Linked DNA regions of Diceros bicornis minor. The protein of the gene in region 3 purifies or fractionates together with the protein of the main gene of each other region. This does not show direct contact. Links are inferred from orthologs where the notes say so. Each region holds a gene or a part of one and is shown on either strand. Other genes may lie near its edges.

The links.
Region 1: the proteins of GARS1 (region 3) and GFPT1 fractionate together in Homo sapiens (co-fractionation; 3 studies listed by BioGRID, with this or other methods). This does not show direct contact. The link is inferred for Diceros bicornis minor from reciprocal best matches to the Homo sapiens genes GARS1 and GFPT1.
Region 2: the proteins of GARS1 (region 3) and IARS1 fractionate together in Homo sapiens (co-fractionation; 3 studies listed by BioGRID). This does not show direct contact. The link is inferred for Diceros bicornis minor from reciprocal best matches to the Homo sapiens genes GARS1 and IARS1.

What each region holds. Positions count from the first base shown.
Region 1 is NC_080751.1:19,011,817-19,022,263, reverse strand, and holds the start of GFPT1 (glutamine--fructose-6-phosphate aminotransferase [isomerizing] 1), read right to left. Parts: upstream 3,954-10,447; 5' UTR 3,790-3,953; coding exon 3,783-3,789; intron 1-3,782.
Region 2 is NC_080761.1:59,349,492-59,359,996, reverse strand, and holds the start of IARS1 (isoleucine--tRNA ligase, cytoplasmic), read right to left. Parts: upstream 4,280-10,505; 5' UTR 4,190-4,279; intron 3,039-4,189; exon of another isoform or gene 2,635-3,038; intron 561-2,634; exon of another isoform or gene 428-560; intron 1-427. Other genes in the region: NOL8 (nucleolar protein 8), read right to left, coding at 7,923-7,973, 8,455-8,534, 9,123-9,193, 9,767-9,893. UniProt on the Homo sapiens protein: Catalyzes the specific attachment of an amino acid to its cognate tRNA in a 2 step reaction: the amino acid (AA) is first activated by ATP to form AA-AMP and then transferred to the acceptor end of the tRNA.
Region 3 is NC_080742.1:54,889,253-54,899,442, forward strand, and holds the start of GARS1 (glycine--tRNA ligase), read left to right. Parts: upstream 1-5,485; 5' UTR 5,486-5,500; coding exon 5,501-5,722; intron 5,723-10,190. UniProt on the Homo sapiens protein: Catalyzes the ATP-dependent ligation of glycine to the 3'-end of its cognate tRNA, via the formation of an aminoacyl-adenylate intermediate (Gly-AMP).

The DNA.
Region 1 (10,447 bases), on a different chromosome or scaffold from region 3:
ATTTTTATTATCCAATGATCCAGAACAACTTTTATTCAATTTACAGATGATGCTTAAGGTATGAATCAACCAATGGACATCCTGTAACAACTTCACAGCTTACAGATCAGGAACCGCAGCTCTAGAACTCAACTTTTCACCTCTATCAGGCACCTCAGTTCCATGATACTCTCTACTTTGTTGGTATACTTGCCCTCCTCCTCAACACAAACTCAGGTCCTTCTGCCTTCATACATGCAAGTTGTCTAACAATTTCTTCATAGCCAAATGCAATTAACTTCTCTCTGCAGTACTAAACATGAATGACCTTTTTCTACATTTGCAGACTCTGCCCAAGGCAGTATACTACTTTGGAACTCTTCTGTCTCTAACCACTGTTTTTATGGCCGCTTTTCCTGGCACTTCTACTTCTTCTTTCAAACCCGCTGGCAGTAGTTCTCAATTTATTTCTAACTCTGTGTATTGTTGGGTAATATATGCCATCAATGATATCTCTCACAGTGTACTAGTTCTCTACAAGCTAGCACTATTCCTCAACATAAAAGTCCTGCCTTATTATCAGAACATTCCTAACCTAATCGGTCTCTGGATTTCTATGCACTCCACTTGGTCTCTAACATGGCAACAAACAAGGATTGTGTATTATCACCCACACCTGTTGCATGTGTATTCGGTTTCTGCCAATCAGGAAGCAATTCACTGAAGGCAATTCCTTTGTTTTAGTCATCTGTCCAAAGGGCACAGTGCAAAGTATAAAGCCATCATTTCATTTTCTAGGTACCTGAAATGTACAGTCAAAAATTCCCAAATCACAGTAAGAGGACACTATTTTGCAGGATGCTAAATAGGGATGAGGTGAAAGAAAGGTTCCATAATTAAAGATCTAAGAAATACTGGGTTAAACAAAGTTAACAGAAGAGGTTTATCTGCAGAACTTCCTAGAACCTTTAATCTTGCTAATTGTGAATCTCCAAAAGCAGAATTTCCCAAACTTGTGTGTTATAAAACTCTTTCCCATCTTCTACTGCTCATTACCAGCACTTATGAACTTCTCCCGTTCCAGGGAACACAATTGAGAAAATGCTTATCGAGCAATTAATTATCTTCTTTCACAACTACTTTATATCCAGTATGATTTCTAAGAATATGTTAATCGTACTGGTTTTATGATTCATCCAAGCAGCCAGTCTCAGCATCCCTCAATTACCCCCAAAGTCATTAGACAATATAATTACAAAACTTTTTAAGGATTCATTTCAGGATACTTTTAAACTGCAAGCTGTCTCACTGCTTTTAACTATGACTTCATTTGCAAAAAATCCATTTATATACACCATCGATCAGAAGGGTATAAGCCCACATTTATTTAAAAAAAAAAGCAAAATATGCTAAAAGGTGTGGGTAGCTTAAGTGACTTTTTTTTTTTAAAGATTTTATTTTTTTCCCCCCAAAGCCCCAGTAGATAGTTGTATGTCATAGCTGCACATCCTTCTAGTTGCTGTACATGGGACTCGGCCTCAGCATGGCCAGAGAAGTGGTGCCTCAGTGCGCGCCCGGGATCCGAACCCGGGCCACCAGCAGCGGAGCTCACGCACTTAACCGCCAAGCCACGGGGCCGGCCCTAGCTTAAGTGACTTGACACCAGCTCACCAAAGCCAAACGTGAAACAGATAAAGGACAAACTTTATTCCAAAGAACCAAGAATAAGAAGAAGATAAAATAAATTTGAAAAATAGACATACTATTCTTCTCTGGAAGATTCACAACGTTTATTAGCACATTAAAGGTTCCAAGAAGTCCTCCAATAAAAAAAGCCAGTTCAACACTGTTTAACCTGTTGCTCCTCAAATTTACTTGACCATAGAATCTTTTTTTTTCCTAATTAACATTTATTAACATCCCAATACAACCTGGCAAACATTATAACAGTTTCATCACTATATCCGATTGGAAAAAAGCATATCACAGAATTATTAGCCCTCATTCTTCTGCTTCAACATTTTGCAATGTTGCAACAAAATAATCTTTTAGAAAAACTTCAATAGGCAGCAGGTAATCAGAAGGTAAACTTCTAACTTTTCCCATCTAATCCCATTCTCACTCAACTTCTCTGCCTCGAAACTTTCAATGATTAAGATGTGGGAGGAAAATAAAGACAAACTTGTCTTCTCAACAGTTAACTTTCAGAGTTTACATACGAAAGGAAATATATTCTGGACCCTACTCCTGGAACCATGCAAAACTCTGGTCTGGGTTAAAAACAGGACCTTACAAATGCCTCAAATACCAATTCTTTATTTATTGGTTGTAACCTGTTTCCTCAGCAGTACAAACTGTGGAATGGGGATGTTGGCTATGTGAAAACTCCCAATGTTTAGTCTCCACCCTAAAAGCCTCACCCTTATCATCGGTAGTCGCATACCTCACCACTCAGGAACAGTTAATTACCAAATAAAGCACGCTGGGGATTAACCAGTTTGCAAATTCACTACTTCACAGCTGCAAACTAAATTATGTGTTTTGCACAACTGCTCTACTAACTAGACATAGCAAAAGTATTACTGATTCTAAAGTCAGCTCTGCTCTAATAATTTCAGCAAGCTATTTATAGGTGTTTCTGTTTTTGTGTTTTTTTTTAATCTACTCTAAATTTAAACCTGCTCCTCATTTTCAGAAGCTGAAATTAGCATAAAGTTAAATACAGGAAAAATATACACTAATGAGATAAGCCACTCCTGCTCAGTTCTTCTTACAAAAGGCTAAAAGAATAAGTTTTCCAGACAGCTCTAATTCTATCACAATCATACTTCCCTGAAAAAAGTGTTCTTTCTTCCATGGGTAAGGTCAGTTGTAAATTTCAATAAGAACGGTAAGAATACAATTCTTTTTACTGACAATGACCAAGTTAATACCAATTTTAGAGCATATCAGTCATTTCAGATATAATTCTGACGACAATCCCTTTTAACTGACACTTTTAGGTAATATTAAAACGAGTTAATCTCAAAACATGGAATAAAAGCTCCCAAACTTTACGTCTTAACTGTTCTAGGTAAAACATTTGTTAAACGTTAGACAAATATTGTTCTTAGGTTAAGTGTTTTAAATGAGTGTATATGCAAGTGAGAAATGATGTATGATCTACCGCCACGGTCACTTCCGGACTTCTCCCACCAGGGGTCAGGTCTAAACCCATTCGCCAAGTTATTGATTAGCAATGGTTTCTGTTGAGACGGGGGTGGCAGGAAGTAAGATCATGTGTAATGCCATTGTCGTAGCTATAGCTATAGTTCTGTTTTCTATTGGGCCTGCCCGAAAGAAAGCAACTAAAAATAAATATTTTAAAAAGGTAAATCCTAGAAGAATGCAAGATAAGTTCAAAGAGACCTCACCTGATGTTCCACAGGTTGCCTCCCTCACCTGGTGGACTCTTGAAGACACTCCCCTCCACACCTCACTTCCCTCTATTCTTTTCCAATACAGACATTTCTCTTCCCTCTTGGTTCTCTCTCCACGCAAAGCCGCAGCCTTGGGCTACCCAGATCCCCTCTAGGGCCCGCTCTCCTCTCAGGTGCCCGCCTAGGTCCACTACACCCCCTCCGACTCGCAGAGGCCGGCCCCTGGCCCCAGCACCCTCAACCACTGCGGGACGCCCCCCACCCATCACCCAGACTTCGCACCCTCCACACTCCCGCTCCAGCCCCCCGCCTCCGGCCTAGGCGGCGTCCTCAGCACATCCCAGCACCGCCTCGCAACACGCCCCCCGCCCGCGGCCCCCTTACCGCACATGATGCAGGCAGCGCGGTCAACAGGACGAGCGGCGAGCGGCTGGCGAGGTCGGGAGCGTACACACGAGCCCGCGGGCCGATCGGCGGACCTACGGGACAGCGAATAGCCGACACGACTCCCTCGGGGATGCGACGGCTGAAGCAACCACAGCCTTCTCGGCCTCCCGGGCTCGACAGCAACTGCCGCCGGGCCCCGCCCCTCGGCGCGCACCGCGCCGCCGCCGCCACCGCCCGCAGGTCTCATTGGGCCGTGGCCGCGCCGCTCACGCGCAGATCCCGCCTCCCCGCGCCGCCCCGCCCCAAGCCCACGCAGGCGCTGGCCTGCTGGCAGCGGAGACGTGGCACCGGCTCGTGGCCGCATCCGCCTGAGGTTCCTGGAGCCGCCCTGGCACCCCGGCGCGCAGCGGGAGAGACCGCGCCGCGGCGGAGGAAGAAACTCGGTGGCTGGCAGGGAATGACGGAAGAATAAGGAAAGAGGAGGAGGGAATTGTTAGCAAAGCAAATAGCGTTGGGGGGCGCGCCTAGTGCAGTCCAGGGCCCCAGGCGTCGGTACCCCACGAAGCGGGGAAAGGGGAGGAGGAAAACAGGAGACCTAAAAAGGGGATCCTGGGGGACAAACAAACAACTCAGGGTGGAAAAGGGGCATAAGGCTGAAGAAAAATTGCACAAAGAATTGAGTGAGGTGAGGGGAAAGAGGTCCCAAAATTCTCACTGCAAAGCGCCATTCAGGTTCGGCCAGTCTTTCTGGTGACAGGCAATTCAGTTCCCGACTTAAGCTCTGTTTAATATGCTTGGCTTCTAAAAGCCCTCTGCACCCCATTCCCACCCCCATCCGTTGCCTCCCTAACCCTCAGTTTTTTGCAGAGGGGGAGGGGTGGGTTGTAAGGCTCAAGTATCCAACATTATGCGCCTGCCTTTGAGAAACTTGGCTGGCCCGGATTTCTGATGGCCCACCCGAGATGACCGTAGGAAGTGCCTAGATTTGATAGCCTGACGTTTGACTCATAAACGATTAATTCTATGAATTAATGCACCATGCCTGCCAAGAGAGACTTAATCAGAGAGAGATGATGTTTCTGAGAATTTATTACCTGAGCATTTGCTTTAGGAAGATTTAAATGGTATCTTTAGTCAAATGTAGATGTTTATCATAACTCTATTAATGGCTCTAAACTAGAATCAAAGCAAAACTTGCATGGCATACAGAAAACGGCATGGACTTCTGACCCCAGATGTCTGGTCTTACCTCACACTACTGCTCTCTTCCTACCTCACCTTCTAGCCCTTTACACTCCAACAATGCTAAACAGTTTCCCAGCTGGGCCAACATTCTCAAATCTTTTGCACACATTGGTTACTCTTTGTGGAATCCCCACCCCATCTCTCCTGAATTGCCACCTCTTGGGGAAAACCTATTTTGTCTCCCCAGACAGACTTAAGGATATGCATTAACCTCTCATTCTTTGATCTGCCCCTTTTAAACAATATGCTTCGATATTTTATGATGTTTTGTGTATTTTCCTACTAGGCTATAAGTTTCTTGAGGCTAGAACAAGTCTTTGCATACCAAACACCTAGTATAAACCCTAGCACAAAGTAAGGGATCAAAGATGTTTCGAATGAGTAAAAAAAGCCATATGTTCTTAGGAGAATTGACTTTCTATGGCTGGTTATATGATCAAGTAAGCAAAGGGCTTTTCAGTTTTTCTTAGAGTGAAAAAAATGCCTTTTTATCACTGGCCTCAAAGAGAGGCAGGAAAGTGTCACATTTAACTAGTCAAAGTATTTCTCACCCGAAAGCCCTTTAATATTTCAGGCCTTTCAACAGGTCCCTAAATCACCCAGAGCAAAGTTAAAGAACAGTGAGCTGTTAACAGACAACACATTTCTTAATTCAAGAGGCAAAAGGCTCTGGGGATGTACATCTTAGCCTCATCTAAGAGGTTCTGGTAAGACCTCAGTGATATTGCCAAGGAGTCAAGGTATGATTCCAATGTTTGAACACCACCTTTGTGCAGTGTCAGCAAACCTGTCGATGCCACAAAGAGAATGCCAGCAGTACCACCCAAGTCCTCATGCTCAAAGTAATAATCTGTTGAACCCCTTGCTTTCTTCTGCTGCTTGTTACTCCACCATGACTATCAATTTGTCTTATCCATCTCCATTCTACAGCTATTTTGGAAGGGGCTTACGCACAAGTTGAGAGGAAGAAAGTTTGAAGGCCAATATTTTCCCAACCCAACCATGAGCAACCTCACTAACCCACTGCAACAAAGAGCCCTTTGTAACCATGTGCCAGTCAAGACACTGATACAGAAGAACTTTGACCCCTATCTATAAGGAGCTTTGCCTTAGCTGGACCTTTGGGAATAAGGGCTGGAGGAGAAAATAAATGATCTGTGAAGGACAGGGGACATCTGGGTCTACTTACACATCTGAGGAAATGGAAAGGATTTTCTCTCCTGATAAAAGTTCTGAACTAACTGAAAAAAAAAAAAAAAGTAGTGATGGTAAGAGGATGTCATTCTTCATCACCTCTTTTGTAAGTCCATTTCCCTGTTCACAAAATCAGTCCTGTCAAATCTGATGGCTCTCAGCCCCCTCTTGGCCTTGCAGCCTGATGGAAGGCCATCAGGGCTTCCAGTTGCCATTTCTAAAGAAACGTAGAATCATAATTGAAATAGCTTTATCAGATTTTTCAGTGTCCCCACATTTGTGATTTTTTGTTATCGCTTATCTGAATTCCAAAAATAAACAGCAATAAAATTATTAAAATAAAAAAGGTCTGGGTACAAACTTCCACTTATAAATAAGTCCTAGGGATGTAATGTACAGGATGGTGGCTACAGTTAATAATACTGTATTGTATATTTGAAAGTTACTAAGAGAGTAGATCTTAAAAGTTTTCATCACAAGAAAAAAAATTTGTAACTGCGTAGTGATAGATGTTAACTAGACTTATTGTGGTGATCATTTTGCAATATATATGTCTATCAAGTCATTATGTTATACATCTGAAACTAATATATGTCAGTTATATCTCAATAAAAAAGACCTGTGCAAAACAAGAAGGTGGGAGTGGGAGGAGTTGGTCCCACTTTTTAGGGAGTTTGTGGAGAAATGTACCACAGTGGACAGAGAAGATGGTGGCAAGTATCAAAGGAAAAAGAAGCAGGTGGAGCCAGTAAGGCCTCTGAGAAGAAAGAAATGAGCACAAGAACAAAAGGCACCAGTCAAGGCCTCAGAAAGACTCCTTAAATGAATCCCTTTGCTTCCACCACTACCCCAATTCATCCTATACACCTTCACACCAGAGTGACCTTTCAAAAACATAAATCTGATCCTGTTTCTCCCTGCTTCCAATTCAGTGAGTACCCTTTACCTGCAGGATTAAGTCCAGACTCCTATGCACACACACGGTTATTCAGGAACTCATTCCTGCCAGTTTTATCAGCATCATCACCCACCACTCTATTCAAGTATCTTATGGGCTAGCTATACTAACTACTGCCAGTTCCCTAAAAAAGAATGCCATCTCAAACTTTTGCATCTTTGCATTTGCCTCTTTTTGAAAGGAAACATTAAAAAGGGAACCAGTTGTTAAATAATCAGGTCTTGACTATAGAGTACTAGATAGTCACTCACAAAATGGGATTATAAGGGGACCCTCGTCCAAAATTACCTCTACACCTTACCTATCACCTTGCCTAAACTTTACCTGTATGCATGTATTTAATGCAGAACACATCCCCCTCCCCAGGAGACCTACATTAAGTCATTATCACCTATTAACACTTTAGAATGAAACTATTTATAGGATTACTTTTCATTTGGATACCAAGTGTGAAAAGGTCACCAAGGAAATGCAAGTTTAATGGGGCTAAAGATAATTCTGAAATCAAAAGCAAGGCAGACCTGGACAGATTACTTTGGTTGATGACACTGGGCAAGAAAGGGAAAATATAAGGGCATGTGGAATTGAGTATTGGGAGGGAGAGGGGGTCAAGATATGGAAAAAGGAAACAGAAATAAGTTGGTGATGAAAGCAAACTTTACCCACTGTAATGGTTAATTCTATGTGTCAACTTGGCTGAGCCACAGATATTTGGTCAAACATTATTCTAGAAGTTTCTGTGACAGTGCTTTTGGATGAGATTAACATTTACAACGGTGGGCTTTGAGTAAAGCACATTGCCTTCCATAATGCAGGTGGGCCTCATTCAATCAGCTGAAGGCCTAAAAAGAACAAAAGACTGACCTCCCCAGAGCAAGAATGAATTTGCCAGTAGAACTGGACTTGGACCACAACACCAGCTCTTCCCTGTGTCTGCAACCTGACAGCCCACCCAACAGATTTTGGACTCACCAGCCTCCATGACTGCATGAGCCAATTGCTCAAAATAGATCTCAATCTCAATCTCTCTCTCTCTCTCTCTCTCTCTCTATCCTATTATACACACACACACACACACGTATGTATACATATATACACACGCATATACACATATGTATACATACACATATATATGCACGCATATATACACATATGTATACACATATATACGTATGTATGTACACACGTATATATGTGTACACATAGATATATATACTATTAGTTTTGTTTCTCTGAAGAACGCTAATACATCCACCTAATGTTGATTTTATTGATTTCCTCAATGTTGAATATATGTATTTGTTTTAAATTTCTAGAGGATAGAGCTTTCAATTACAAGTAATAGAAATCCACTCAAACTAGCTGAAGAAGGGGAGTTATTAGCTAATGTAATTGGAAAAGACAGGGATCCAAACAGCTTCAGGCATGTCTATATCCAGGGACACAAACAATGTTGTCATAACTCTGATTCTCTGACCTCATGGACAAGGAAATGACCTTCAAACAGCTCTACAATGACATGTTTACAGCTCACAGTCCAAGAGGACAGAGGCTTTTCCTCCACCCTCACGTTTTCTATTCTAGGCACTGATTCTGATGGGTCCAGTGTGAGTCATATGCCCCCCTCCTGTGGCAAAGAGGGCAGGACACTGTGATTGGACAGTTCCACCACATACAGTAAGCAAAAGATAGCAGTTCTTCAAAGAAAGAGGAAGGTGTTGCTAAAAGAATGAAGAAGGGACACCAAAAGATGTCCACTACATCAGGTAAACATGACCTTGATTGCCCCACCAAGAAACCTCAGGCTTGAGAACAGACGATGCTGACTCCAACTGGAATTAACACTCTCCAATACGCCTCCCCTAAGTGGCTCCAAATTTTCCCAGTAGCAGAACCTGGGGCAGAGTTTTCTAGCTCGGATTGAAAGAAACTCATTCTACTGCCAACAAATTGTCAACAAACTGGAAACCATGAGATTAACTGGTCCTATCCACTACTTCTGTCCCATAGGGTATGACTGGAGCTAGAATAGAGATGGACTGTTCATGGAGCTGCCTAGAGCTGAAAGATCACTAGAAATGTAAGGTAACAGAAAAAATACTACTTTCTAAAGTTTCTTTCAGGGAATACAGAAGTCATGTCTACATAGCCTGCAAGCACCCTGTGGAGTCATCATAGATAACTCTGTTGTGGGGAAATGGGGTATAAGGCTGAGGTTTCTCAAAGGGAGGTAAATTTCCACTGGACTAGAGACCAGCTAGCTTTATATTGCTGCATAAAAAATGGACACACATGCACTGCTTTGGCCCATGATAGTCTGGAGCAAACAAAAGATGGAAAAGATTTTTGCCCACTAGAAAGTAGCACCTATGAAGACAAAGAATGCTTCTCTCCTTCCTCAGGTAGGAATACTCAGGAGCGGTATGTGGGTCCAATTCCCTTAATGCAAAATAGTATAGTAGCAATGTGCATAGGGTCTGCAACCAGAATGCCAGGGCTCATGTCCCTGGCTTTTCCACTTAAGTTGTATGGCAACAGAATATGTACTTCTCCTCCCTGTGCCTCATGGGGACAATAATAGTTACCGTTCTCATAGGATTAAATGACTTCATAAATATAAGGTGCTTAGAATAGTGTTTGTTACATAGTGAATGCTCAACGAAAGTTTCCTATTTTTATGTATTTTGCTCTTTATCATTCTGTGTAGGGCTTCATCCTAATTTTGGTTAGTAAAAAATCCTCCAAGTGCTTGGTTTACTCTTGGCCAATAATCTTAGTTTCAAATACCGAATGAAACATCCCTTATTTATAAAGTGTTTTGAATACTTCATGTAAAAAGATCTTATACATTTTGGGTGGCTAATTGAATGATTACTTTCTTTCTTTGGGACTATCTCCGAGGAATTTAAGTATAATTTAAATATTCAAGTGGCAGGCCCGGTGGCATAGCGGTTAAGTTCACATGCTCCGCTTCAGTGGCCTGGGGTTTGCAGGTTCGGATCCCGGGCATGGACCTACGCACCACTTGTCAAGCCATGCTGTGGTGGCGTCCCATATAAAGTAGAGGAAGATGGGCACGGATGTTAGCTCAGAACCAAGCTTCCTCAGTAGAAAGAGGAGGATTGGCAATAGATGTTAGCTCAGGGCTAATCTTCCTCACAAAAAATAAAAAATATATATGCAAAAATGAAAACTACTACCTGATTAAACTATACCTTCTAAATTAATCTTTGATTGAAAAAGTGGCTCAATTAATTAAAAATGT
Region 2 (10,505 bases), on a different chromosome or scaffold from region 3:
GATTACATTTGAAGACTAATAGATCTTTAGAGATCAACACATTTATTTCTGTCACTTCTAATGCTCCTCAAGGCTGGTCCTATGATCACCAGCATCTATAGGTGCTGACTGATCAGAGTAGACTCGCCAGCCCCACCACAGACTGAGGAGTCAGAATCTTTTAACCTTTTAATAAGATGCCAGGGGATTACCACGCACATCAAAGTTTTGAGAGTCACTATTCTCACAGTTCTGACCATTATTCAGGAATATCTATCTGACTTTTTTTTTTTTTTGAGAAAAAGAGATTTAAGCTTTCTGTGAAGATGGATCGAAACTCACATGAAATTTTCTAGGGAGCCTCTACTCTCCCAAAGATTAAGAATCATTGCATTATTATGCCAAACAAAAAGACCCACTGTAATGGCACTGACTATTCCAGGAAGAGCCATGTATCAGTGACCGGGCTATGGTGGCTGCTGAGGAGAAACAGCCCCCATGCATAAATCACAGGATTGCTCTGGCCCCTCATATCCACTGGAGAGCTGTACATACACAACAGCGTCCAGTAACCACAGGGCCCGTGTGTGTGTGTGTGTGTGTGTGTGTGCGTGTGTGTGTGTGTGTGTGTGTGTGTGAGGCGGGAGAGGAAGGAGATTAACTTCACCTCAGGGAAGCGTTCTCCTCTTCCCTCTTACTATAATCCACTCTTCCCTATTCCAGGACTCCTTAAGGCCTCTTTGCCTCAACTTCCTGTTCACCAATTTCTAGATACCCTCTTTGACCTTGTGTTTACCTCAACAGATCTTAGAAAAGCATTCAAAAACATTTTCATTTAAAATAAATCTCATGATCTTCCTTGCCATACTTGCTCCCATTAATCCCACTGTACTAGTAGTTCCACATTCCTTCCCATTAGCTGAAATTTCTGAGTCACCCTTAAATACTAACAGATGACCCCACATCCAATTGATCACCAAGTCATGTGGATCTGACCTCTAAATCTATTTCTCCGTTCCTTCTTCTTCATTCTCAGGTCTTCATAACCTGTTACATTAAGTCAAATCTAACCCCAGAGGTGGGTCCAACTCCAGCCTTTTCTCACTTTAGTTATATTCTTTTAACATATACTCCACAGATATACTTACACAAATGTATAAAATATGTGTACAAACATATTAACTGAAGCATTTTTTTTTCTTTTTTTTTGTGAGGAAGATCAGCCCTGAGCTAACATCCATGCCAGTCCTCCTCTTTTTCTGAGGAAGACTGGCCCTGGGCTAACATCTGTGCCCATCTTTCTCCACTTTATATGGCACATCACATGGCCTGACAAGCGGTGCATCGATGCACGCCCGCGATCTGAACCCGGGCCGCCAGCAGCAGAGTGTGCACACTTAACCACTAAGCCACGGGGCCAGCCCCTGAAGCATTTTTTCTGTAGACAAATATCTGAAAACAACTTAAATGTCCACGAATAGGTAACTAAAATAAATTATGGTACATCAATACCATGCAGGCATTAGAAATAAATCATAATAGATGCAATATACATATTACTTATACATACTGAGAAAGAAAAGAGCAAGTCACAGTTATAGCAACTTATACTATGTATATTATAACATCATTTTCAAGAGATTTAAAAAGTATATAGTATATTAAATCTATGTTTAAGTAATTCTGCATTTGAATTTAGAAGGCTACCCAACAAACTTAACTATTGCTACCAGCAGTGAGTAGGATTAGGAGAGGAAGGCACAAAAGAACAGATTTTTGTTACTTCATACTACTCTGTTTTGATTTTTTTTAAGTGTGTATTAACTTTATCACAAAATCTTTTTTTTTTTGGTGAGGAAGATCAGCCCTGAGCTAACAACCATTGCCAATGCTCCTCTTTTCGCTGAGGAAGATCGGCCCTCGGCTAACATCTGTCCCCATCCTCCTCTACTTTATATGTGGGACGCCTGCCACAGCATGGCTTGATAAGCGGTGCGCAGGTCTGCACTGGGCATCTGAACCTGTGAACCCCTGGCCACTGAAGCGGAGCACGCGCACTTAACCACTATGTGACCAGACCGGCCCCTATCACAAAATCTTTTAAAATAAAGAGAAAAATAAATATCATATATCCCACATACCACTGTAGATTAACCTTCCTAACGGAAAAGCTCTGAAACTATCATTTCTGTATTAGAAAAAAAAATCCAATGGCTCCTCACTCCCAACGGTATTCTGTACAGACTTTTCAGTGCAGCACTCAAGGCCACCATGATCTTACCCCAAATTACTACTCTTACTCCAGACCTTTACTCTTATAAAACTCAAGCTCCAGCTATATCACCCTCCTGGACGCTGCTGAGAAACATAACTGCTTTCCTGTATCAGGCAGGCCCTTTCTCCACAAACTCGAGCACCACTTAGCTTAAATGTACCTCCTCTACAAGGCTTTCGCCAATGCCCTCTTTTTAGAACTAATATCCCCCTCCCCAGAACCTGATCCTCTCCTACACACTGTGGCTTATTTGTGCTGCATGTCCCACACACTCTCCAATTCAACTGTAAACTTATTGCTGGCAAAAGCATTTTACCATCTAACCTCCAGTGTGTGCTCACACATGATAAGTGCTCAAAAACGTTTGTTGGAACAAATACCTTTGTCAGCATCCTTAGTTTCCATCAGTGATACTCCTACTCTCAGCTGCCTTTCCAATCTATCCCACTCCATGGGCTGCCCCTGGCACAGGATAGTGGTGAAGAGGACTGGCTTTGGAATTTGACAGTTTTGGTGCCACCACTTAGTATGTGAGCTATAGGAAAAGTTATTCAACATTTAAATCTCAATTCTGTCGTCTGGAAAATAAAGGTCACAAACATTCACAATGCTAATTCAACGGTAAGCGAAATAACGGCTATCACAGCTCACAGCAGTTGCGTATCATCTATGTAAGCCATTATTATTACTTCTTTGCCCACGAATTCCATTCTGTTGCTCTTGCCCAACCACTACACCATCTTTCCAAAAATACTTAGCTGCCTTCTCTTCCCTATAATTCACCGTTTTTTTAATAATTTTATTTATTTTACCCCAAAGCCCCAGTAGATAGTTGTCTGTCATAGTTGCACATCCTTCTAGTTGCTGTATCTGGGACGCGGCCTCAGCATGGCCGGAGAAGCGGTGCGTCGGTGCACGCTGGGATCCGAACCCCGGGTCGCCAGTAGCAGAGTGCACGCACTCAACCGCTAAACTACGGGCCGGCCCTATAATTCACTCTTTAATCACAAAGAGGATATATTGTCCGCCATTTTACTGATATTTACTTTTTAAAAGTTCATCATGTTACTAGAAATTTCTTAAATTAATTACTATACCTCTGGTTTCATCCTTTCTGAGCTCTCTGCAAAACCAGAATGCTAAAAATAATATTGAGCCATCTTATAAAAGACCCATCTTCTCTTCTGGGCTCATTTCAAACACCACTTCATTAAGAAGGAATCCATAAATTCCTAAGGCTGGAGACTACTTGCCCTCTCCACTTGCTCCTCACACACACCCTAAGCTGCAGCGACAACCGCGACCCCCCCATCTCCGGAATCAACACATTCAAATTCTCCGGGCCCCGGACTCACTCGCTCTCTCCCCCATTCTTACTCATCTTCTAGGCCCCAAACCAGCACAGCTCCCGAGAAGCCTCCTTCTCCACCTCCGAAGCCCCCTGAAGAACTCCTCCTCCCCCGCGCCGGCAGCGGGCGTGCACTCGGCAAGCCGCATCCACACACTGCGTGAGCCGAGCACCGGAGGCCGCGGCCCTGTCGCCGCGCTCCTCCGTGCGGGCCTAGGACTCGATTTCTTCTTCCGAATTTTTCCGCTTCCAAGAAACTTCGCCCACCTTCTGAACTTCTCCGGCAAGCTCCGTCACACCCAGTTCTCACGACCACCACGGTTTAAGTGCTACCACCATCCCAGTCCAAGCTGAGGAACTTCCGGACGGGGCGTACCGGAGGGCCCTGAGGGCAGGACGGGGTGACCTGAGGAACCCGGGGGCAGGACGGGGTGACCTGAGGGTCCCGGGGACAGGAGAAGGTGACCTGAGGGTCCCAGGGGCAGGACGAGGTGACCTGAGCGTCTCGGGGACAGGAGAAGGTGACCTGAGGGTCCTGGGGGCAGGATGGGGTGACCTGCGGACCCTGCGCTCAGGGCGGAGCGTACCTGAGGGACCCCTGAGCCGGCGCGCCTGGGAAGGAGCCGCGTGCGCGCCGCAGCCTGACGGACCGAGGTGATGCAACGCCCTGACAGCGCGGAGCGAGGAGGAGGGCACTGGTCCGCCCCGGCAAATCAGCGCGCGCCGCCCGACACCCGTCAACAAGCCGAATGCCGGTTGGTCGCGCGGGTCCCGGCCACGCCCACCGGGCCCCGCCCCGCGCCGCGTGCCGGGAAGGCGCCCGCCTGGTGGCCTCCGGAGGGGGGACTGAGTTGCGGGGACAGCGCCGGGAGGCTGAGGTCTGCATCCTGGCTGGGCGTGGCTACACGGGTGTTTGCGTTTGTCCGTGTTCCCCGCTGTACACTGTGCGTCACACCACGCGTGAAACGAAGCCAGCGACGGTGGCCTCAGTAGTTATACTGCGGGGCCGAGAGCACGCCGTCCCCAGGCTGCTTTCTTAGTTGACGGTTCCAGGAAAGAGCCCCCCACTACAGGGCTGTTTTCCAGCGTGGTGCAGACCTACACCAAATCACCCTGGGGCTGGCCTGCCGAGACTGTCTCTGCAGGTCCTGGGTAATTCTGCAGCACGCTAAAATTCCTGACCCGCCCGTAAATGCAGAGGCCACAGAACAACGTCTGGGAGGAGCCAAAGCCCTCGTGGTCAGTGGTGGTCCAGGGAAGCCTCCCCTGCTGAGTCTTTCAGTGCTACCTTGAGTTCTGGATTTTACTGCAGCAGTTACGGTAAAGGGCCATATGAAGAGAGAAAACAACACAAAAAGGAAGGAACTGCCTGGTAACCACTTTAAAATTGTTTTAGCATGTTTCCTGTAAACAAAATTAATTTGCTTATCTGCTTACTTAGCACTGCTGTGTGTCTGCCTGGCACCTTCCAGACCTGCTGGTTAAAAACCAAAGGGGATCTGGAGCCACACAAAGGACAGTAGACCTCAGGCTTTGGCGCCAGAGACTATGAGGGAAATTTTAGGCCTTGACAAATTAGGAGTAATTCTGTATGTAACTGCTTATTGTATCCATTAGGACAGAAAAATTTGATCTGGCCGAGAATATGTAGAAAGCACTTCTTTAGTAAGTTGAAGTAAGAACATTTTGATAGTCTGTGTAGCGTTCATTCAGTACTCCTGGTCTAGGAACATCCTACCAAGTGTCAGGGATTAGAGGAAGGGGTACTGTCCTTGTTCAAAGGGGTAACTCTCTGTTCAATAACTTAACTCACTTGAACATATATATTTAGTAGTTGTGTATCTTCAGCTTATTAACTAGAAGTACTTGGAGTGTGTTTTAAGTTTTGCAGTCCTCAAGTTGCTACCTTGTTTGCCACACTTTTATCATCTGTCCAGACAGCCTAGATTAGAGCAGGACAGAGGGCTCCCAGACAGATGTGTCCAGGGAAAAAAGGTGGGTGGGGATGACAGGTCTGATTATTTAAAACTTAGACTGAGAAACATTTTATGGTGCTGTTGGAAGGTATGAGAAGACTAAATCTAGAAAAAAGTTGACAAGTGAAAAGATTCTAGGAAAAACAGTTAAATGTGGTCAAAATATACTACTTGGATTAAAGAGTTGGATCCTCATTGTCAGAGTAAGAAGTCACTAAGTAATGTCTAAAACTGAAAAACCAAGAAATCACAGCATAAGCATGTTAGGTAGAAATATATCAGAGAAAACAGATACAATTACTGAAGGTGGTTGTATCTGCAGAGCAGGAATGGGGATCGGCAAGGTTACCTGATGTCACTTATTTGGTTTGGAGAAGGAAGGTGTGACATTTAAATATGGCCACAAATTCTTCAACACTCCTCCTACTGAGATGTGTCTATGTTCCCTCCCTGTGAGTCTGCCTGGGCACAGCCTTGAGTGACTGGCAGCATCTGCTGCCTGCTCCTGAAACCTACTTGCTATGCTGTGAGGAAACCCATGGACAGGCACTAAGTGAGGAGGCCGTCTTACAAGTGGATCCCCAAGACTTAGAGGCAACTTAAGTGCCCATCAACAGATGAATGGCTAAAGATGTGGTGTACACACACACACAGACACAACAGAATACTACTACTTAGCCATAAAAAAGATGAAAGCCTGCCATTTGCAACAAGACAGATGGACCTTGATGGTATTAGGAAATAAGTCAGAGGGAGAAAGACAATTACCATGTGATTTCACTCATAAGTGGAAGATAAACAAACAGAACACACAGATACAGAGAACAGACTGGTGGTTACCAGAAGGGAATGGGGCAGGGAGAGGGCCAAAGGGGTAAAGGGGCACATGTGTACAGTAATGGATGGCAACTAGACTTTTGGTGGTGAACACGATGCAGTCTATACAGAAGTCAAAATATAATGATGTACACCTGAAATTTACATAATGTTATAAACCAATGTGACCTCAATAAAAAAAAAATTAAAAAAAAAAAAGAAGTGGATCCTCTAGCCCCACCTAAGCTACTTCAATGACACTACATGGAGTAGAGATGAGCAGTCACTCACTACTGAGTCCTGACTAAACTGCTTATTTGTGAGTAAAATAAGTGATTGTTACTGAGGTGGTTTGTTATGCAGCAATAGATAAGAAGGTTTAAATGTAATCTACATCAAGAGAAGGTGAAACATTTGGATTATTTATCCTGCTGAGTGGTTGTTTCCATTCTCCCTGAAGTCTAAAGTCTTGAAAACACAGAAATCCCCAATGACTCTTCAGCTACTTAGTTCCTTGGACCCTGTTTATTCAAAAATATATGTACTGAGCACCTACTATGTACTAGACACAGTTCTAGGCAGTGGGGACATAATGGTTAACAAACCAGATGACATCCCAGCCCTCACCGAGTTTATATTTGATCAAGATGTAAATCAATACTTAATTTCAGATATACACATTGTGGCTCAATGATAATCCCTTGTGTCTATATAACACAATTTTGTACAGAGCCCAGTTTGACAGGAGGCTACATCTGTCTTGAATCTTAACCAGTTTGATTTAACAAGGTATTGAATCTGCTTCCCTATCTGGACTCAGGGTCTTGACTCCTGACTGTGACTACATATCTTTCAGACACTTGGGTTTTTTCATAAGCCTCTGGTCTAACTAGAATTTTGGGATTGATAGGCCTGCCTCCATCTGGAGGCCAAGGAAGGAAAACTCTGCATTTGGCATCCTTTTCTGGTCCTTACAGAATTCTCCTATGATGCTGCTCTGAAATGTCCTGCATTTCAGTTGGCTCTTCACCAGAACACAAGTACAGAACTTAGGGCCAAATTCATTCAACCTGGTAAATAAAGATGACAAAATGGAGGTAAGGTATTTTCAGTACAATCAGAGTAGCCTATAATTCACACAAAGCCTAACCTGGAAAATACAAGTGCTCTGACTCATATATTTAAAAAGGCTTTATGTAAACCTTGCATCAGAAGATGCCAATTAGCTATTGAGGATGGAGGGGAAAGAGATTATATACAAAAAGTATTTTGAGGGACTATCTTGTGCTTCATTTAAAAAAAAGTTCAGTTTTTTTCAAAAAAAGTTAATTTTTTGAAGTAATTACTTAAGAAGAAAGACAGAGGAAATCCATAGAAAATACAGCAACCAGAATGATATCCACCAGCCAGATTTTGAATAGTCTTTCACTCTGATTTTTCTTTCTCAGCTAAAATTATTTTCTGGATCACCCAATTTCCATAGGTGAGCCTTGTTCACATTCAGTATCAAAATCAATGCTGACATTTATTATTTTGGTTTCATTCTCCTTTTGGCATCTTTATGTTTCTTCCGACAATCCTAGAAAAACATAATATCAAAAGCTTTTGTTAAAAATAATTGTAAATCATTTTCAAGGTGTTCAGTAAAATTTAGCTTATTCTGTCTCAGGGTTGTGGAAACCATTTTGGAAATCCTCGCTTGGAATGAACAGGGAATATTCCAGCTTTTGGCTTTAAATGTTTACAATGGAAACTGTAATTCAGTCTTTCAAAAATCTCATGATTTCCTATTACTTAATGAGCATGGCTGGAACTCTGACCAGTCATTCAGTGGGGTCTCTCTTCAGTCTCCTCACCTGCACCACGTGTGGGTTGAATTAATCTCTAAGTTCCCTTCCAACACTATAATTCTGAGTGTTTAAATCATGTTCTCGGTTGTGATCCTTTCTGTCTTAAGTTTTATACTTTATTCCCATATTCTTACACCAGGCAAATACTAACACAAAGATAACACTGTATCTAATTTAGGGGACAATCAATATGGAGATACAATTACTCACCATCCGCAAGTTGTTTGTTCTGGCCTCCCAAGAATTCCTGCTAATATTACTTCCCACTCCTCTCCAGAATAAGTCAGAACCTACCAGGGGAAAATCAAAAATGACGAGGCAGCAAACTACCAAAACAGACAATATTCTAGTGCTGGCATTATATCAAGGTCTTCAATTCTAGTTAAGACCATTTTTTTCCCAATTTATGCTAATTTTCAAAAATATTTTGTTTTTTTACAGAATGAAAATGTAGAATTGCTAGGATTTTACTGTTTATATTCCATTTACTATTATGTAACTTGGTTTCTGTTTGTGTTAGGCTTTAAGAAATGAAGAGTTCACCAACAGCGTCAGAGTTTTCACATGAACTTTTAGGGTACTAAAAACTTAGGAGTTTTGTATGTCTAGCATTTAAGCAAGTCCCTGGAACAAAACAAGCCCTTGTTGATGCTAATGAGTGAGTGAGGGAGGGGTGAGTGGGAGCTCTCAGTCCTCCAGACCTTTACAAGTCAACATGCATCAGTTGAAAAGAGGGGACTAATCCACATGACACTGCAAAGGGTCAGAATTTTTCCCAAACAGTTCCTACTTGGACGCCTGTTACTGTATCAGAATGCACACTGCTGAGAGCTGTGCTATTACCTGTTCTATACCATTTAATCCAAAAATGGACTTACCATGAAGTCTTTCATCATTCTTAGAGAAAAAGAAAAATCTAGTGGTCTCTTTCTCAGGTAGTGATACTTCTCTGAAGTGAGAGAGAGCGAGATTGGTTGGTTAATTTCAATATTTAAGAAGAAATGTTTACACTGAAAATATAAATGAACTATTCCTTAAATATATCTACTTTGTGTTTTGCTCATTTTGCCCTGAGTTAAAGTGACCCCAACTCTCTCTCTATTCAACATTCTTTTCTTCTACCTGAAGCTTAGGTAACGAAGACTCACTTAAGTACGTGCTCCATCCTCCCCACCCACACTGGTTGATGATACTCTCACCCACCATTGCTACCTCATTTGCCAGTGTTTCCCATGAGAAACAGCCAGCCAGCCGCAGCATCCTCTCCAGACCAGGGGCTTCAGAGTCAGGCTCTCTCTTCCCTGTGCACAATCATATGCCCCACCCAGTGTATCCAAATCTCAAGGGGAAGGAAACACACTCCCCATTACAGAAAGGCTAGAGAACTCTCTAAAGGAGCTGAAGGAAGAAAATTAAGTTGTCTCGAGAAGATAGCTTGGAAACTGCCATAATATTTCTAAAGCATGTCTAACTCAGATTTTACAAATTATGAAATATACCTACACAGAAACAAATTACTTACCCAGGGCTGGGCTTTCTGTCATCTGTTTCTTCAGTAACATCTTCCTCTTCTGAACTGCTGTCTTGGAAACGAGGGGCTCCCTGCCAGGCAATCTTCCCAGGTTTCACTGTCTCAACTCTATAGGTCTCTATATCATATGACAATAAAAGATGACAGGATTGTGAACAACCAAGTATTTCTTTTTTTTTTTTTTTGTGAGGAAGATCAGCCCTGAGCTAACATCCATGCTAATCCTCCTCTTCTTGCTGAGGAAGACCGGCTCTGAGCTAACATCTATTGCCAATTCTCCTCCTTTTTTTTTTCCCCCAAAGCCCCAGTAGATAGTTGTATGTGATAGTTGCACATCCTTCTAGTTGCTGTACACGGGACATGGCCTCAGCATGGCCGGACAAACGGTGCGTCGGTGCGCGCCCAGGATCCGAACCCAGGCTGGCAGTAGCAGAGCGCAAGGACTTAACCGCTAAGCAACGGGGCCGGCCCCCAACCAAGTATTTCTGAACACACTCATTTGATTACTTTCACCATGCACACTTTTATCTAAATTTCCAATATCTTGATCATTAATTTAAAATAGGTAGTGGGGCCGGCCCCGTGGCACAGCGGTTAAGTGCGTGCACTCCGCTGCTGGTGGACCAGGTTCGGATCCCGGGCGCGCGCCAACGCACTGCTTGTCAGGCCATGCTGTGGCAGCGTCCCATATAAAGTGGAAGAAGACGGGCATAGGTGTTAGCCCAGGGCC
Region 3 (10,190 bases):
TATTAAGGTAGAAAATCCCAAGGAATCTACAACAACAACAAAAACCAACTACTAAAATTAATAAGTGAAACTCTCAGGACTCACGATCACTATACTAAATCAATTATATACATTAGAAACAAACCATTGGGAAAAAAATAAAATAAAAATAAATAAAACAAAATAAAAACAAAAACAAAATAAAACTCAGAGTCAGTTGGGCACAGGTGTGTGGTAAAAAAAAAGAAAACAAAAAAAACCCTCAGAGTCAAAGAATAAAATACTTAGGAATAAATTTAACGAAAGACATCCAAGGCCTGTGTTGTTAAGCTATGAATTCTCCCCAAATTGTTCTATAGACTCACAATCCCAACAGGTATTTTTTTTTAATTGACAAGTCAATTCTAAAATTTATGTGGAAATGGAAAGGACCTAAAATAGGCAAAAACAATTTTGAAAAAGAAGAAAAGGTGGAAAATGTACGTTACGTGACTTTAAGACTTACTATAAAGCAGTAGTAATCAAGGAAGTGGGATACTGGCAGAAAGACTGATAGACACACAGATCAGTGGGACAGAATAGGGATCACAGAAATAGACCCACACTTACATAGTCAATTTATTTTCAACAAAAGCACCATACTTGATCAATGGTGAAATCAGTAATTTATCGTAAGCCTTTCTTCTTTTCAACGAATAGTACTGGAGCAACTGGATATCTATGTGGGAAAAATATGAACTTTGACTTCAAACTGTACACAAATATTAATTCAGGATGGATCACAGACCAAACACAAAAATGTGGGAGGATATCTTTGTGATCTGAGTGTAGGCAAAGATTTTTTAGGACCCAGAAGAAATCAATTGATAAATTAGACTTCATCAAAATAAAAACTTTCTGCTTATCAAAAATAATGATTAACAAAGTGAATGAGCAAGCCACAGACTGGAAGAAAATATTCATGAAACATATATCTGGCAAAGCACTTGTATCCAGAATTTGTAAAACTCCTACAACTCAATATTAAAAGTGAAGAACCCAATGAAAAATGAACCGAAAAATGAACCAAAAAGTTGAACGCACACTTCACAAAAGTTTTACAAATGGCCAGTAATGCCACGAAAGCACATGCAACACCATTAGTCATCCAGCAAAAGGCAATTTAAAACCATAATGACGGGGCCGGCCCGGTGGCGCAAGTGGTTAAGTGTGCGCGCTCTGTTTGGCGGCCCGGGGTTCGCAGGTTCCGATCCTGGGCGCGCACCGACGCACTGCTCGTCAAGCCATGCTGTGGCGACGTCCCATATAAAGTGGAGGAAGATGGACATGGATGTTAGCTCAGGGCCGATCTTCCTCACAAAAAACAAACAAACCACAATGAGATACCACTACATCCACTGGAATAGCTAAAATCTGAAAGACTGGCAACCTCAAATGTTGACAAGGGTGTGCAGCAACTAGAATCTCATATGTTGCAAATGGTATAACCACATTGGAAAAAGCTGTGGCAATTTCTAATAAAACTAAATATACATCTACCTTTTGATCCAGCAATTCCCTCCTAGGTATTTACTCAAGGGAAATGAAAACATATGTCCACAAAAAAAGATGTATAGGAATATTTACAGCAGCTTTATTCATAATAGCCCAGAACAGGAAACAACTCAAATATTCATCAATTAGTGAGTAGATTAACAAGTTATGGCATATTCATACAATGGGATAATGCTAAGCAATAGAAAGAATGGATTACTTATACATCAAACAACATGGATTAATCTCACAGACATTATGCTCAACGAAAGAAGTCAGACACAGAGTACATACTATATTATTCCATTTATACCATGGTCTAGAAGAGAAGAAACTAATCTAAGAGGAAAGAAATCAGAATAGTGGTTGCCTGGTTGTGGGGGGTGGGATAACCAGGAAGAGACAGGAGGGAACTTGGTGGGGTGTTCTTTATCTTTATCTTGATTGGGGTATGGGTTATAAGAGGGTACTCCTTTGTCAAAACCCATTGAACCGTACACTTAAGATCTGTGCATTTCAGTGAATGCAAATTTTATTTCCTCAAATAAAGAACTTTAATAAAGAAAGAAAGAAAAACATATGACCATATGTGTACAATGCTAGGGCCTCTTGCAGGGCCTTGAAAGAGCCCATCGAAATGAGGGGTCCTGAAGCTCACTTAAACCTTCATTAGTAATGAAAATAATAAGAAAATTTTCACATATTGAGGTATGTGGGCAAGCCATTTTGGTTTACACCTGATTTGGCCTGAACTTGTTTTTTCCAGAGTAGCCTAATTTATGGCCTGTCAAACATGCATTGTACATTGGTTTTACACACTATCCCAAAGCAAGGAATGCACTCTTTGAAGACAGGGATGAATGCCTCCCTTCCTCTGACGTCAACACCAGTACTCCTTTGAAGATAAGCTTTCCTTCCCAGAAACTGTACCAGCTAACTGCCCCGAGTTGCTTAAAGAGTTACTTAAAGAGTTGCTTAAAAAACAAAATTCCCATTAGCAGTTAATAGTTCGCCAAAGTAGTTGGGATGTCCTTAAAACAACTTTCCATACCTAGCACTTTGTTTTGAAGTTATGCTTGCTTATAGGAACTAAGGTGACACATTGAGACAGAACGTTGTCAGATGGCAAACCACAGAACCGAGCCAAACCAGGAAGATCCAAGCTGGCGATGGGGTGCCATGTGCAGAGGGAGACATGTGCAAAAGGTGGGCAGTGGAGATGGGCAGTGGGCAGAAGGAGATGTGTGCAGAAGGTGCTGCGTGTAAGAAGGGAGATCTATGCATGCCCCAAGACAAAGCTTCCTCTGTGCATATTCATCCCCTACCCCAAATAAAAGGCACCCACTCCCCATGCTCAGAGAGCCATAGCTTTGTGAGATTATTCCCCATGGTCTCCATTTTGTTTGCTGCATGCTATAAATAAAATTCAGCTTTGTGTGACACTACTTCTGGTGCAGTTTGATTAACTTGCCAAGGAGCGGACTCACTTTGGTCCGGTAACAAAACCAGGGTCAAGTTGACCCATACATGCAAAACTGCAGCAAAATATCTCCTTAAGACTTTGAAAAAAATGTATTGCTGTCATGCTTGATGTATGTTCTTTGTTCTGAAACGGTATGTAATCATGCTATAAACCATGCTTCTCTGGAGTGCTTTCTTCCCTGGTGGAGACTGCACTTCCGGGCTAGTCCCCATCATGGCTCAAATAAATCTCATCTTATCTTTCTTATCTATAGATTGGTTATTGATTATTTGCATCCACATTAGCCTCATTAGCTACATGGTAAAACCACGTCTGCCCCCAGCTCATACTCTGGTCCTCCACTCACTTAGCAGTTGTGTGACTGTGGACAAGTTAATGTATTATGCCTTGAATCCTGAATCTGTAAAATGGGAATTATTATGGAGCCTATCTCATTGGATTGGTGAATAAATCACATGAGATAACTTAGAACACTAACTGGCACATAGTAAGCCCTCAACAAATATAAGCTATTATCCTTGTCTTGAAGATGTTTCTAAGGAAAACCACTTAGGAAATTCTGCTAAGGGCCATTTGGACCTATTGGAGTTTCCTGAGCAGAGGAGCAACATGCACAGCTTTGCCTTTTAGAGATAATCACTGAGGCGCAGTGGGGAGGACGAAATGGTGGGGGGAAAGAATGGACTGGGACATTAGGGATAGGACTGTCCTCACATGAACACGGATGAGACATTACTGATCTAAAGAATTAAAAAATATATAGAATTGTATTTAAAGTATACAGAATTTGAATGTTTTAATAAAAATGTAAATGAGAGTACATGTAAAAATTAAAATGGTTTTTCATATTTAAAAATATTAAGATAGGGGCCGGCCCAGTGGCATGGCGGTTAAGTTTCTGCGTTCCCCTTTGGTGGCCCAGGGTTCTGCGGTTCGGACCCCGGGCGTGGACCTACTCACTGCTCATCCATGCAGAGGTGGCGTCCCTCATAGAAGAGCTACAACTCTACAGCTATGCTACACAACTATGTACTGGGGCTTTGGGGAAATGAAAAAGAGGAAGATTGGCAACAGATGTGAGCACAGGGTCAATCTTCCTCAAAACAAAAAACAAAAATTCAATAATTTAACTTAAAAATATTAAGATAAATTCAAAATTACCTGCTAAAATAAAAATTATGATTAATAAATATCAGATCTTCAAATAAAAAGTTTTAAAAATACAAATTATTTAATGTTGCAGAAGGTTCTTCTGCACCTGCCCCGCTAATGCTAAACCGTGAGTACTTCTTTAGAATCACGAATTGAAACAGGAAGAGAAGTGACACGGACTTCCACACTACTGCGAAAGGCAACTTCGTCCTGATGAGCCTGTCTACTCTCGCACACTCCTGGGGTGGAATTGTTGGTCTCAGGGAAGGTGTGTATGGTTGGGTAGATACTGTCTAACAGTCCTCCAAAGTGGCTGCACCAGTTGACACTCCTCGCAGCAGTGTGGGAGAGTCCCAGAGCATCACTTGGCATTTTCCATTATTTTCATTTTAGGCACCTTGGTGGGTGTGCACAATGCTATTTCTACAACCAACACATTCTTTATTTTTCTACTCCCTCTCTGGAAAGGGAATCTAGCTTTTCCAGCCAATCCACCCTTGGGGCACGAGGGAAGGAGGAAGCTATCCCTGGATGGTCCTCAGCTGGGGCCTAACCTCAAGAGGCGAGTCAGCTGAGGCAAGGTTACACAGAGGGAATCCCGCACACCTGGATTCTCATCTCCACTTCCCCTTTCCTCCACTTCTCTTTGCCTCTTGTCTTGCCTCGTCTCTGGTTCAAATCCTGCTCGCCCTGCAAGGGCTGCTCAGTATTGACCTTCTCCATAAAGCACCTCACTTCTCCCTTCCCCAGCTTTTTTCTTGACATTGACAAGGCATGGAACCAGGAAGTTGGGCAAATCATTAACCTCTCTTGACCTGTTTCCTCATCTGAGGAACGAACATTTGAGCTCGAGCAAGAGTGAATCTAAGTCCCTAACTGATTTGACGTTTTATGACCCTTTAAGGCTCACGGGCCAGAGAACAGAAACAGAAGTGTGTCTTCCCTTGGGTCAGCCCGAGAGTCAGTGCCGGTGTAGAAGCCTATGCCTTTGAAGGTCCTTGTGCGTCTCGGTCTGCATGCCTCGGGTGGAGCTGCGTCCTTGAATGTCCACCCTAGTGGAGTGGCCTGACGCCTCTTTGTGCAAATCCGTTTGCAGGGGGGTACTTGAGACCACCTAGCCCTCTCCGGCGCCCACGGTGGAGGAAGCCTTCTCCGAACTCCGAGGGATGCCCGGACGTCCCGGGGTTTCGTGTCGAATCTGCTGGCGACGACGCGGCGCCGCGCCGCGGGGTGGGGAATGTGCGGCTGCGCGCGCGCCGCGGCGTTTACGCGGCGATTTCATCATGCTCCCGGCCGGGCCGCGCGCGCCGCTTCCGCCGCCGCCCCCTCCGCACCGCCCCGGGCCGCCGGCTCATGCCCTCTCCGCGCCCGGCGCTGCTTAGAGCCGCCCGCGCCGCTCTGCTGCTGTCGCTGCCGCCCCGGCTCCCGGCCCGGCCTTCGCCCCCGCCCCGCCGGCCCCTCAGCACGCCCGCGCGCGCCCCGACCTCCTTCCCCGCCGCCGCCTCCCGGAGCAGCATGGACGGCGCCGGCGCTGAGGAGGTGCTGGCTCCTCTCAGGCTAGCCGTGCGCCAGCAGGTACCGGCATTTCGCGCCCTCCTCTCAGCTCCCGGCCCTCCTCCTCTGGTCCCCTCCAGGTCACTCCCTCTCCTCCCCGGGCACCTGCACCTCGCCGGTTACCCTTCTCCTTCATCCCCTGGAAGCCCTTGGTTTCCTGGCATCTTCCTCGCCTCCCCCACTTTGGACCCCCGTTCCCGCGTGCGCCGGCCACCTTCCTCCCGTGGACCCCGTGCTCCCCTCTCCTTAGGTGACTCCTCCGATCCCCTTCGACATCCTGCGTCCCTCCCCTCGCGCTCTGCTCTCCTTTCCCATTCCTTGTTACTGCCCGCGCCTCTTCTGTCTCCGATGGAGCTGGGATTTCTGACCCTGTGGGTCTCCTCTTGTCCTCGCTCAGTGACCTCAGCTTCAGTTTTCCACTTTCAGCTCTGTTCTTTGTACACCGTGGGTGGCGAGGTTCCCGGTCAGTTATGAGCCGAAGCTGCCGGTTCGCTCTTCATACAGCCAGACTCTCTTTTTTAGTCTTCAGGATGCTTTGAATAGTGTTTGCTCCTTGAGGTCTTCCTCCATTCAGTGCTTAGTTAGCTGAATGATCGGCTGAGGAAATAAAAATAGTTGAAACGTGGGTGTGGGGAGGTGTTGAATTTTTTTCCCCTAATGATGTGAGTTCATCGTCCTTTGCTCATATCATCTTTTCTGGGTTCCGAAAGGGCCATTTGGAATGAGTGAGCTTTCAGATGGTAAACCTGGGAAACTGTACATGTTGCTGAGTTACTCGGTGAAGTCATCCTTCCTTCGTATGGAACATTTGGCAATTTGCTTTTGCGGAAAGGAGGGAGGTTGCATGGGCTGGAGGGCTTGGTGATTTAATACGGGCCTCCTTTTCTTGGGGCACAGCATGGATATCAGAATTTGGAGAGGACAGGAAAAAGGTGATTTCAAATGGATTCTCACTGGAGCCCAGTCAGCTGGAGCCCAAAGCTTGGAATAGGACCCCGGGGATCCGTGACCTAGTAGTAAACCCCGAACGGGTTTCTCCTGCACGGGCGCCTGATGCAATAACTTGCCTTAGCTAGGGAGGGTGGAACCCTCTCTCGGAAATAATTCATTGGGGCAGAGCTGCCGCAAATTCAGCAAATTCTGCTACTTTGCAATGTCTACTTCTCTCTAGTTTGAGTCTAACTGATTCAATAGTGTTTTATTGTGACATTTCACTATGGGCTTAATTTTTTCTTTTTTATTGTTGGTATCAGAACGCTGTGTATGCGTCTTCCTCCACCCACCCTTCCCAAATAAAATTAGGTGTGGTTCCTTTGTCTTTTCTGTAACTCTCAATTTTTTTTTCGTATTCCTCTCTGTAGAAGGCAGAATACATCTAATTTGGAAAAACACACACCCAAACCCCTCCCTCTGCCACGTTAGCCTGGAACTGCAGTGCAGATTATCTATCTGTAGTGAGACTGTGGAACTAGTTAACAGAAGTAAACTTGAATTGTGGAATAATCTTCTGGTGCGAGTACTATTTTGTATATTGTTTATGTTGGCTTGGTTGTTAACTTTTTTGGTACTTTAAGGTATTTTTCTGAATATGTAAGTTAGTTTGCGTTCTTTTTCTAATTTTCTAGGACCACACATGCATCAGTTAACTCTGGAACTTTGAATCACACTGATTCCAGTCTCAGCTGGAAGGGACTTTAAAGATTATCTAGTTAAACCTCTGTTTTTGCTTGTGAGGAAGTGAGACACACTGTCACATCTATCCGTTTTACATATTTTTGTTGTGGAGTTTGTACAATTGAAGACATCCTTGGCATGGGATTTTTTATTTATTTATTTATTTATTTTTTGTGAGGAAGATCTGCCCTGAGCTAACATCTGTTGCCAATCCTCCTCTTTTTGCTTAGGAAGACTGGCCCTGGGCTAACATCCATGCCCATCTTCCTCCACTGCATATGGGACGCTGCCCCAGCATGGCTTGACAAGCGGCGGGTCGGTTCGCACTGGGGGTTCCGAACCTGGGAACCCCAGGCCTCTGAAGTGGAGCGTGCGCACTTAACTGCTGTGCCCCAGGGCCTGCCCCTGGAGAGATTTTTAAGGTGCTTAACAATTGGTCTTGTTAGTGGCATGTGTTTCGTGTAAACATGTTTCATATAAATTTGCTAATCTACTAGGCTACCTGGACGCTGTTATTTTTTAAAGGTTTGGTTTGTTGATTGACTGAAATGTATTTTGGCACGGCATATTCTTTCCAGTTATTTTCTGGAGAATTAGTTATGGAACTTGTAGGAAGGCGTCAGAGCATCTAGGTGACTGCATTAATTGTTTGATGAAGAGCACCCTAGGACAATTGAGTTTTTAAAAAATTGGGAATTAGTGTAGGGTGGCCAGCCTTTATTTTGCCAAGTAATGACATTAAAAAAAACAGTACAATCATCAAACTACCGTCTGATTTCCCCTTTCTTTTTATAAAAGAAGGGATATTTTAATACCAAAGAAAGGCAGATCATACCCAGAATAAAGAGCAGTCTTTTATATTTAGTAGGTTTGGCTTTGAAAAAAGATCTATACACGCCCCCCCTCCACCTTTTACCATGTTTTGGTGAAAACTCTGTCCTGGAGTGTCTTGTTTGGGAACCATTGCTCTAGGGCAGTCGTTCTCAAAGTGTGGTCTGCAAACCCTTGGAAGTCCCCAAGGTCAAAGCCATTTTCATAATGAAATTAAGACGTTATTTTCGTTTTTCACTATGTTGACATTTGTGCTGACCGTGCCAAAGCAGTGGTGGGTAAAACTGCTGTTAGCACTAATCAAGTGAGGGGCACCAGACCCAAACATTATATTCTCTGTCACACTCTAACAGTTAAAAAAAAAGTCAGTTTTGCTTTGGAGTATCCTTGATGGAGCAGTAAAAATTATTAATTTTATTAACTCCAGACCTTTGTTCATATATCTTTTTAATATTCTGTGTGACGAATGGGAAGTATGCATAAAGCATATGAAATATGATTGTCTCAGGAAAAACACTCATATGATTGAGTTGCAGGCTGAACTGTCTGCTTCTTTTCATGGAACACTGTTTGTAAAATGTGTGACAAAGTATTGTTATGCAGCCTTAGGTATTGGGCATTCATTTTCTGGAAAATGAGTGAAGTGAGCCTGTCATTTAGAGAAAACAACTGATAGTATTTGTGGCCCGTAATAAAATCAAGCTTTTGATGTGATGAGTGGTGATCTTAACAAATGTGGGTTTTTTTGATACTGTATAGTAAATGGGTCACTATTTGGAAGATCTACATAACTCTGTTAACCAGTATTTTCCAAATGACCGATGCATGATACTATGAAATCAGGTATTGTTAAAAGATCCATTCTGAGTCTAAGATACATGAATGGATTTAATGTAACAGAGTACAGAAAGTTCATTGGTGTAGTTTCCAATTCCACATTGCTTCTAACCTTTAAGAAATAACCTTTAAGAGCCAGCCCTGATGGCCTAATGGTTCAAGTTTGTGAGCTCTGCTTTGGCAGCTTGGGTTCGGTTCCCAGCCGTGGAACCACACCACTGTCTGTCAGTAGCCATGCTGTGGTGGAGGCTCACATAGAAGAACCAGAAGAACTTACAACTCTGCACAACTTTGTACTGGGTCTTTGGGTGGGAAGAAAGAAGAAAAAAGGAGGAAGATTGCAACAGATGTTAGCTTAGGATGAATCTTGCCCTGAAAAAAAAACCTTTAAGAAACTACCACTTGTTCTTGAGTTTTGGTATAGTATCAAAGAAGAATATCTATGATTATTTGAAAAGGCTTTTAAAATTCCCTCCCTTTTCTAACTATGTATGATTTTCTTCGCATACTTCACCCAAAATCCCATATTGCAAGAGAGGCAGATACGTAAATCTAGCTGTCTGCTGTTAAGCTAGAAATTAAGACATCTGCAAAATTATAAAACTGTCATTCTTCTCACTACTTTTTGTCTTATTTTGGAAAATAGTTATTTTCACAAAATGTTAATTTTATGCATGTTAGCACATATTGAGCTTTTATTATTATTTTAAATGAATTAATATTTTAAAATTTGCGTTTTAATTTCTAATACAGTAAAAATTGATAGAAATAACCCACAATAACAAAAACTTTTTGGGGTCCTCAGTTAGTTTTAACAGTATAAAGGGATTCTGAGACCAAAAAGTTGTATAACTGTTGCCTTAGGGGAACAGAAGTATCTCATTTATATGAAGACAGATTTGGGCTGTTATCTGGAATGCAGCTCCCCAGAAGTTCCCATTCCCTTAGCCTGTTTTTCCCTTTACAGCCCAGGGTTTTCCCCTATATATTTCTCATGGTCTCCGCTTTCTCATTTCCCATTCATTCTTCTGTCCTCTGCTCTCTGCCCTTGGCCTCCACCACTGCCCTTGCCTAGTAGTCTAAAGGGTGCTTTTCTGTATCAGCATTTTATCTGTCTTCAGCATTTAACTATGTTGATCACACTCTT